Linked DNA regions of Rattus norvegicus. The protein of the gene in region 1 purifies or fractionates together with the protein of each later gene. This does not show direct contact. Links are inferred from orthologs where the notes say so. Each region holds a gene or a part of one and is shown on either strand. Other genes may lie near its edges.

Region 1 (4,569 bases):
TTAAGTCTCTGAAGCAGAATAGTCCGGGGTGGCCTAGAATGCAGCCCAGACTGGCCTCCAACTTGCCAAGTAGCAGAAGATGACCTTATTGGGTGGGTGGGTGGAGGAATGGTAATGGTAAGTAAAAAACATAGACAGCTCTAGTTTTTTCTTTTTGTAATATTACTAGACTTAGACAATCCTAGGTACAAATTCAAACCTTACCACCGCTAAATTGATTTTTATACATTTTTGAAACTGGGACTCAATAACCCAAGCTGGCCTCCAGCTCCTGGTCCTCCTGCATTCACCTCCTAAGTACTGCGTTACAGGCATGAGTCACCACATCATACTCCCAAACCATTAAACTTTAACAGGCCATTTCCTTAACATTGCTGAGCCTCAGTTTTACTACCTGTAAAGTGGGGGTAAGACCAGGGGCACAAGTTTGTACTTTCATTGCCCTTAACTGCCGTGGAGATGAAAATGGAAAGAAGATGTGTGACTGAACCCGCTACATCACTTAAAAGGGAAAGAAAATAACAACCGCAGCTAGCGTTATTGCAAGAGGAAAGGAGTGAAGCTTTCAGAATTCTGCCCAAGAGCCCTCAGACCTCTGACCCCTTCTCTGCCTTTTCCCAGCTCCCGGATGCAGCAGACACTCGGCAAATATTTGTCAAACTGGGAGAAAAAGAACTGTATCTTGTAATTTTCCATCTCAATCACCACCTCCCTTCCCACTCCCCACAGGGCTGTCCCCAGTCAAACCAGTCCTGCCCCCTTCCCCACCACAGCATAAGAACCTCTGAGGGCACTGGACCCAAGCTTCAAAGTCTGGGGGGGTGGGGCTCAGTTTACCCAGCAAGGAATAAGGAATGGGTCTGTCTGTCTCTGTGTCTCTCTGAATCCTAGCTGTCCTTGGAGAAGTGACACAGCCAAGCAAGTGACCAAGGACGAGGGAGACCCTCTCCTAAGAGGGTGGGGGCTCGTTCAGTTCAAGTTGTGCCTACCCTTCAGTTCAAGTTGTGCCTACCCTCAGGGGAGGGAGGTCTGGCCCTGGCCACAGCCAGAGGGGGACGGGCTGCAGAAGGACGGGGACTGGGGGTGGGGGTGTAAGGGGCCGGCCTAGACGTTGCTCCTGCCCTTTTACGGTCTCAGCGAGTGAGGCGGCACTAACTCGGACATCCGCCATCCGCCTTCCACCGGGCCTGGGACCGGAAACGGGTGGGGGAGGGGCGGGGCTGGGGGCAGCAAGAGAGGAGGGGGGTAGTGGAGGAACTGACCCCCTTTAGGGGGACAGAGCTCCCACGGGGGAGGAAAGGCCAGGCAGGAAGTCTCCAGGGTGTCTCGATGTCCCCCTTCTAGCTCCAGACGCTAACACTCCCACATGCCAAGGGACAAACTTGGGAGGGAGGGAAAGAGGGAGGGGTCCTAGCTCAGGGCCCTAGAGAAGAATGTCACCTAGATGTCAGAGGGCAAGACTGAAGGATGTGCACATGGGGGGTTAAGCCCAAACTGTCCCCAGGAGACTCCTCCTCTAACCAGGGGCTTTGGGGCAGGAAGTCCCAGCCAAAGTGGAGGAAGGGAGATAGTATTGTCAAGATGTGGCCCCAAGGGAGAGATTATGGGGGGGCTGGGGCTGAGAGGAGGGGAGGCCTCTACCAGCCCAGGCCCCACCCTCAGGTGAGCCCAGGAGTTCAGGGCAGGTCCCAGAGAAGACATTAAAAAAAAAAAAAATCTCTGAGTCCCCCTCACCCACAGGATTAAATTCCTGGGAAGAGAGCTGAAAGAAGCGGGTAAGCCTGGGTCCCTGAGGGAGAAGGCTATGACCTTGACGCTTTCCAGCGCCCCCTCCTCCAATCCCACGGCTTGGGGAAGGGGGGTGACACCCGGCGACATTGAGCCCAAGGGGAGGGGCCGTGGTGTGGGGAAAAGCAGCTGGCCACAGTGCTCACTCGGGGGCCCGCCCCCCACACCAGCTGTCTCGACAGGTGAGTCAGGAAGACAAAGGCCCCCCCTCCCCCAGCTGCCGCGCCCCCTCCCTCACAGGCCACCAGGTTAGGGGGTGGGGGTGGAACTAGAACCGTCCTCTGGCCCGGGGGCCAGGAGCCGCCCTGGGCCTGGAGTGCTCCCGGGTCCTAGGACCCACCCAACCTGGGTGCCTAAGGGGAGAAGAGTCCCATCCAGACCCTCTGGGCCCCGTGGGTCAGAGTCTCAAGAACCCCTCCACCAGAGAACCTCCGTGTCCACCAAATTTTGGGACATCAAGAAGTACCCCCAAAGTTAAGGACCGCGGTTCCACTCTGGGACTCTCATCCAGTGCCCCAGACGCAAGGGTCCGAAGACCACAACCCGAGACTCAGAGTTTCAGGGCTCGGGTTCTCAAGCCAGCCTCCCACCTGGTTTTGAGTTTGGGGGCAGTAACTCTGAGCCCACTTATACCAGTTCATCCCTGCGACGTTCTACTTATCTGCGAACTCGGAGGTGCTCCCCCCAAAAGTCTTCAAATTCTGAGTCCCGAGAGCGCCCCTAAACCTGAAAGCCATCAAGAGAACCTCAGCCGGCACCGCCCCAAGCCTTTAGGGAGTAGTGTGGAGAAACGGGGTGTCGATATTTAGAGATCGCTCCAAGAGACATCGGCCCAGATCTGGGACGCTCAAAGCGCTGTGTCCCCTAAATCCAGCCCCGAACGAGCTGGGGGGAGGGGGACAAAGGCGGGGCGCGAAGCCGGGTCCCGGCTGGGACCCGGCTGGAGGGTTCGGGGCTCACCTCATGGCTGCGCAGAGGGCAGGCGGCGCGCCCACGGGGAGTGCTCCCGGGGCGCCCCTGATTGGAAGTGCAGGGGTGCGGGGCTGGCTCCAGGTTCTGCTCAGTCTCTCTCGGGGTCCCGCCCCATAGAGTCCAGCTTCCTGGGGAGAACGTGGACCGGGCCCGGGCGGGTGCTCAGGCGCCTCCTCCCTCCGGTGCTCTGATGTGCTGGGATCCCCTGCGATGGAAAGCGGGGTGCAGCGTCCGAACCTCGCCGGCGCACCCCCTCAGCCGGCAGCACCTACGCGGTTACTCTTACTACTGTACTCTCTTTGCTACATTTCGTTCCAAAATTCCACTCCCCATACCCACAATGCCCTGCGCCTTAAAGGGGCCGTGGACGCCTCCAGGCGGGGGATGGAGACCGTTTAAAAGGCAACGCGGAACCTAGGTCTTCCGCAATTGCACTCCTTCCTCTCAGTCTTGTGGCGTGGGGGTGCACCCTGGGCCTCACTCCCGAGTTGGAGGGGGAAGCTTGTTGGAAGGGAAGGGGCCATTCTTTGATCTCTAGCTGTCTCTACTATGGAATTCTTTAGTAGAGATCTGGGGGTGCCAGTTCTCCATTCCAACTCGCTCGGTGGACTTCTGTTCAGTTTTTATGGAGGGCGGGGGTTCTTCTGGTTAAGCAAAGGATCTCATTAATTTCCACCTTTAAGTAACACTTCCGTACATCCTCTGTTCCCCAGATCTCTCTTCTCAGGTCGGGCCCCACCCCTCGCCGCCCCCCACCCTCCGGGGAAGGTGTGGAGGAAGTGAGCGAGGGGGTGCGACGGGCCGCTGACTCACCGCCGCCGGGTCGCGGCTGGGGTGGGGGCGGGGGTGAAGAAGGTGGAGGATAGACTAGGAGTGAAGGGTTGGAGGTGGGACCCCGATCTGCTTCCCACGCGTGCCCAGCTATGGCTTAGTTTTGCCCACAGAGGATAGTAGGATCGTCCCAAGAATCCCGCAGGCTCAGAGGCTCGAAGACCCTCCCTGGAGCCCCTTCCACGCAAACACGTCGGGGCAGAGTCAGCCCAACCTCCCTCCAAGCCTTCCGCAGTGGGACCCATAGGCCCCGCCCAGAGTTACATCATCATGCGGACACGCCCCTCCCGTAGAGCTCCACCTGGCAGGGTAAAAGGCGTTAACTCTCAGAAAACATCAGTTCCTGACTTACAGATGGAGAAACTAAGGCACAGAGACAGGGAATGGGTTTAGCTTATGATCGTCTTGTTTGGGTCCCCCCCCCCAAACTTACGGAGAATCAATCCACGTGGCCTTTGGCCAGTCTGTTTCCTGGATGGTATGCTGGCTCCCTGTTGGCCTTGCAAAAACCTCATCCTTCAGGCCAAACACTTAATTCTGCACTGAAAAATCTAGTACACTAGTTGTCCTGCCACAAACCCGGAGGCTGAGGCAGGAGGATCTCGAGTTTGAGGCCAGCCTAGGCTACAGGGTGACTTTAATGTCATCTTATATATTTAAGAACACAAATAGAAATGGGTCAGCAGTTAAAAAAAAATACTTGCTACTTTTGCAGAGGACCTAAGTTCAATTCCCAACACTCACAGGGCTAACAACTGCCTGAAATTATAGCATTATGTTCATACGCGCATGCCCACCACCTCCACACACTTATATAGCTGAAAATAATACAAGTAAATTTTTTTTTAAAAATTAAAACCACAAATGGGCCAGATGTGGCAGCGTAACAATAAAAACAGCAAAACAAAACCACACACAAATCCATCGAAGACAGTGGTTTCTGAACCTTCCTAATACTGCGACCCTTTAATACAGGTC
Region 2 (4,452 bases), on another chromosome or scaffold:
GTCGCGTCCCCGTCCCGCCCCTCCCCTCTTATCATCCTGCCACTCCCGGCAGGATTTTTTCACCCCCGGGCGGGAGGCGCGCAGATCAGAGGTCAAGGGATGGCGGGCGCAGACCGCCACGTGCCCCAGCGCGGCCCCGCCCGTGACTCAGCCACGCGGCTGTCGAAGAACTAGGGCTGGGGGGGGGGGTCGTGGGGAGCCAGAATTTTGAGATGAACATCAGGGAGCCTAACCCGGCTCCAGAGAGGCAGCGAACCAAATCCCTCCACTGGGAGAGGCTGCATACCCCGGCGCCCCTCCTCCGAGGGACCGGAAGCGGCCGAGCCCCTCGGAGGCTAGGGTCCCGAGTGATTCCTTCACTCCCTCCAGCCTCACTGGCCTGCCATTCCCCCCTAGACCTGCACGGCGGCAAGTGACCTGATCGCACACAAATACTTAGCAAAAGTTTTACGGGAAAAGAAGAAAGCCCCAATGGGTCCAAAGTAGAGGGGACTTTCCTCTTCTTATAAAAGTTGTCATTCTTGGTACTTTAGTATTCTTCCGCCTTGAAAAATGAGTCCCGTCTTGTCACCCGGCTGGCGCCCCTATTCAAGTGACCTCTGTAGTCAGGGTTCAGGCATGGGGCGAGGCTCTGAGCTGGAGCGGATCCAGCGAAGGGAATGATTCCTCTGGAATATAGGGACGCGCTCGAATGAACCCAAGTGCGTCCACGGCAGACGGTTGGGACAGGTGCCCTTGTTGGAGACCTTTAGTACTGAAAATTACTAGAGTATTATGTCAATTTCACTTTTGTTCCCTTATCGTTTAAGTAAAATGTGGAGAAGGGTGCAGCCCACAAAACCCAGGGCGTCTGCCCGTCCCGCCTGCTGGGGACGCGTCTTCCCGGTTACGAAGGTCCAAATCTGTTCTGCCAGGCGCGCGCTCGCGCAGCCAAGCCGCTAGCCCCAACCGCCCCACGCGCTGTCTTCTCACTGCCCCGGCGCAGGCGCGGGCGCACGCGCCGCCGCCGCCCGCCGTTCCTTCCCTCCCGCGGAGGTGGGGGTTGGGGGGTGGAGGAATGATTCGGTTTAACCCTGGGTTCCCGGAACCCACTTTAATTTGCTCAATTTTACTAATTTTCCTCTTTTCCCCCTTCTTCCTCTGGTTTCCTCCTTCTGCGGCAAAGTGGTTTGTATCCCGTACGAATTGGAGCGAGCCCTAACCTTAGCCTCTCTCTTGCCACCACCACTCTAGCCTTTCGCGTGGCTTTCCATCGAACTCGGCAAATTTTGCAAAAGGGGGGAGGGCTTTTTAAAATTGCATTTGCAAAAGTTCGCTATCTGGCCTGGCAAGAGGGGGGGACGGAGGGAGGGAATGGGGAGCAGGCCCCGCCCCGCCGCCCTTTGCAAATAAAAATCTAGAGGGGGGGGAGGAGCAGGAAGTGGCGGTGCGAGGGCTGCTGCACAGCTAACACAGCCGCGTTCCGGACGGCAGCGCGTGCCCCGAGCTCTCTGCCTTCCCCCGCCCGTCAGCCCGAGCCCAGCCCGCGATCCCAGCAGCAGCCCGCAGAGCAGCCCCAGCAGCAGCGCCATGGCCGGGTGGAACGCCTACATCGACAGCCTTATGGCGGACGGGACCTGTCAGGACGCGGCCATCGTAGGCTACAAGGACTCGCCCTCCGTCTGGGCCGCTGTCCCCGGGAAGACCTTCGTTAGCATTACGGTACTGCGAGGCTTGTGCGGTCCGGGGCATTGATCAGGCTTAGACCCTCTGGGAGACTTGGGTGGGGGCGGGCGCAGTCTAGCGAGGGCAGCGAGAGGCCGTGATCCGGTCCTCTTCCTGAAGCGGCGCGAATGGCGGCTGCATGAAACTAGGTCCCTCTGTTGCCCCCCAAGCTCTACGCCCATCGGCGGCGGCGCCCATCTCGCCCGCCGCCCCGCTTTCTGCGACGGGGCGTTACATCCGGGGCACAGGGCGGGGAGGGGCGCGTCGCCCGGTGCGGCGGCCCACTTCCGCCTCCTCCAGGGCGGGGCAGGCACGCGCTGCAATTTTAGCCTGGGATTATGATTGATAAGGGGCTTGGGGAGCTTGGACTCCCCTTTGGGCCGACTGCTCGCTCTCCCTCCACCATTGTTTCCCCTTATGCTGATGGGAGCGCCAGGCGCGTGGCCTTGGGCCCTGCAGGACCTCGGTAGCACCCTGCCCCTCCCAACTCCGTTAGAGAGGGCGAGGCCGCCACCACACACACCCCCAATTCGGCACGTTAGCCTCAACATTCCTGTGAGGCCAATCCCGGAAGTCCCCTCACCCTCCCTTCCCGCCATCCGGCAGGGCTCGGAGTAGGGGAACTTTGCGAGAAGTTCTGAGACGGTAAAAGTGAAGGGATAAGGCTGCTGCTGTCCCTGCCACCACCTTCCCTGACCACACTGCCCGGAAGTGGGGAGGGGGAGCGGAAGTTCGAATGGGGGGAAGGGGATTTCCGGGCGGGAGGGTACCGGATATGGGGTTTGGGGTTTAAGGGGGAGAAGGAGTAAGGTTCTCTGGGATGTCTAGACTCAAAAGACTAGTCTCCTGCCCTTATAAACTTTTTAAACTTAATTAGAAAGCCCCCAGGGGTCAGCTTCCTTATCTTGGGGCATAGATACCTAGACCTAAACTCTAGCTCACCGGGAGACCCAGGAGTCCCGGCTCCTAACAACGCCTGCAGAACCTTTGACCAAATAAGGACAAAGTTACTTCTCCTCCCTTCCTACCCCCTCCCTTCCCCTCTCCGCTTCTGCTTTTCCTGAAGGACTGTTCTGAGCATCCAAAGGCTCCCCCCTCGATCATTGATCCGTTTTTGGTACCCAACATTTCTTTCTTTGCTTTTTCTATTAAGCATGAAAATCTAATTCTTCAAAGGAATATTTTTCCTTCCTTGGACTCATTTAATAGAGTTTAGGATCATTGTCGTTCTCTACACTACCCACAGTACTGTTTTCCCCAACTTTTGATGGTGTGTATGAAACACCTTCACCTCCAACTCCACAGTACATAAGAGGACAAGTTATGCAGGTGCACTAACTTAATGAGGTGATTGATTCTTCTAGCCAGCTGAGGTTGGTGTCCTGGTAGGCAAAGACCGGTCAAGTTTTTTCGTGAATGGGCTGACACTTGGGGGCCAGAAATGTTCTGTGATCCGGGACTCACTGCTGCAAGACGGGGAATTTACAATGGATCTTCGTACCAAGAGCACCGGGGGAGCCCCCACCTTCAATGTCACTGTCACCATGACTGCCAAGAGTAAGTTTGATTCGCTGGCTTTGAAATCCCTAACTTCCTGTTAGTCACTTGGTTTTATGTGTGTCAGAGCTGCAAAACAGTATTTACTCTGCTGGATATGGGAACCTTGGATGGCTCCCCATATCCCCATTGTGTAAAGAAACTACATTACCTCTTAAGTGTCTTCTTGCTTTGAGCTTTTTGAGATTAGTTTGTTGGGAGTAGACTGTTGGAATCTTAAGTCAGCATTTGGCTCTAATCTTGAGTTCTGTAAAGACCTGAGGTAGGAAGCAGTTCCTAGCCACATCAGTCTACAACCTGTAAGCCTATGACCTCTAAATTTTGTTCTTTCTTTACTAGTCTTAAAGCTTTTTTTCTTCTTTGAAAAGCTCTATTGTTTTAGGGTGACTGACAGCCTGCCTGTGTATAAGGGGAGGAGGGAATGAGGTTAGGTTACAACCCCCGGGGCTGGACAGCTGCTGAACAGCTGGCTGGGTTGAATTGTGACACCTGGGTCCTAGCTTCCTTTCTCTTTCCTCCAGCGCTAGTCCTGCTGATGGGCAAAGAAGGTGTCCACGGTGGTTTGATCAACAAGAAATGTTATGAAATGGCCTCTCACCTGCGGCGTTCCCAGTACTGACCTCATCTGTCCCTTCCCCCACCGCTCCCTTTGGCTTTTGCACCCCCTTCTTTCCATACACACACACACCATTATTTTTTGGGCCATTACCCCATTTCCCTTATTGCTGCCAAAACCACATGGGCTGGGGGCTGGGGCTGGATGGACAGATACCTCCCCCTACCCATACCCCCTCCTGTGTGTGTTTGGGAAAAAATTGTTTTTGGGTTTCATTTTTGTTTTACTTTTTTTTTGTTTTGTTCTTTTTTTTTTTTCTGAATAAAAAAAGATTCTACTAACAAGGACCTGTGTGGTTTGCACTTCGCATTAGTTGGAGACAGGCACTGTGACCCACCTCAATTATGTATCTGCGTCTTGATGTGACATAGGCCCCTCTATAGTGTTATTTCCATTTCAGGTCCAGTTGAATTAGTATGTAATGGAACATAGCCACCCAGACCAGAGAATGGGTCCAAGCCTGCGGGTGAGGCAGGGCCACTTGAGTCATCCTGTGTAGGTGGGGCTCCCCCTCCCTGAGTCATAGCAAATGCAGCCAGGGCTGTCCCCCTGACAAGTTAATCTTATGAGGTGAT

What was found.
Region 2: the proteins of Vasp (region 1) and Pfn1 purify together in Homo sapiens (affinity purification with western blotting; 3 studies listed by BioGRID and IntAct, with this or other methods). This does not show direct contact. The link is inferred for Rattus norvegicus from reciprocal best matches to the Homo sapiens genes VASP and PFN1.

What each region holds. Positions count from the first base shown.
Region 1 is NC_086019.1:88,050,025-88,054,593, forward strand, and holds the start of Vasp (vasodilator-stimulated phosphoprotein), read right to left. Parts: upstream 2,932-4,569; 5' UTR 2,754-2,931; coding exon 2,749-2,753; intron 2,447-2,748; exon of another isoform or gene 2,430-2,446; coding exon of another isoform or gene 2,422-2,429; intron 1-2,421. UniProt on the Homo sapiens protein: Ena/VASP proteins are actin-associated proteins involved in a range of processes dependent on cytoskeleton remodeling and cell polarity such as axon guidance, lamellipodial and filopodial dynamics, platelet activation and cell migration.
Region 2 is NC_086028.1:55,863,588-55,868,039, reverse strand, and holds Pfn1 (profilin-1), read left to right. Parts: upstream 1-1,452; 5' UTR 1,453-1,569; coding exon 1,570-1,701; intron 1,702-3,068; coding exon 3,069-3,261; intron 3,262-3,782; coding exon 3,783-3,880; 3' UTR 3,881-4,158; downstream 4,159-4,452. UniProt on the Homo sapiens protein: Binds to actin and affects the structure of the cytoskeleton. At high concentrations, profilin prevents the polymerization of actin, whereas it enhances it at low concentrations. By binding to PIP2, it inhibits the formation of IP3 and DG.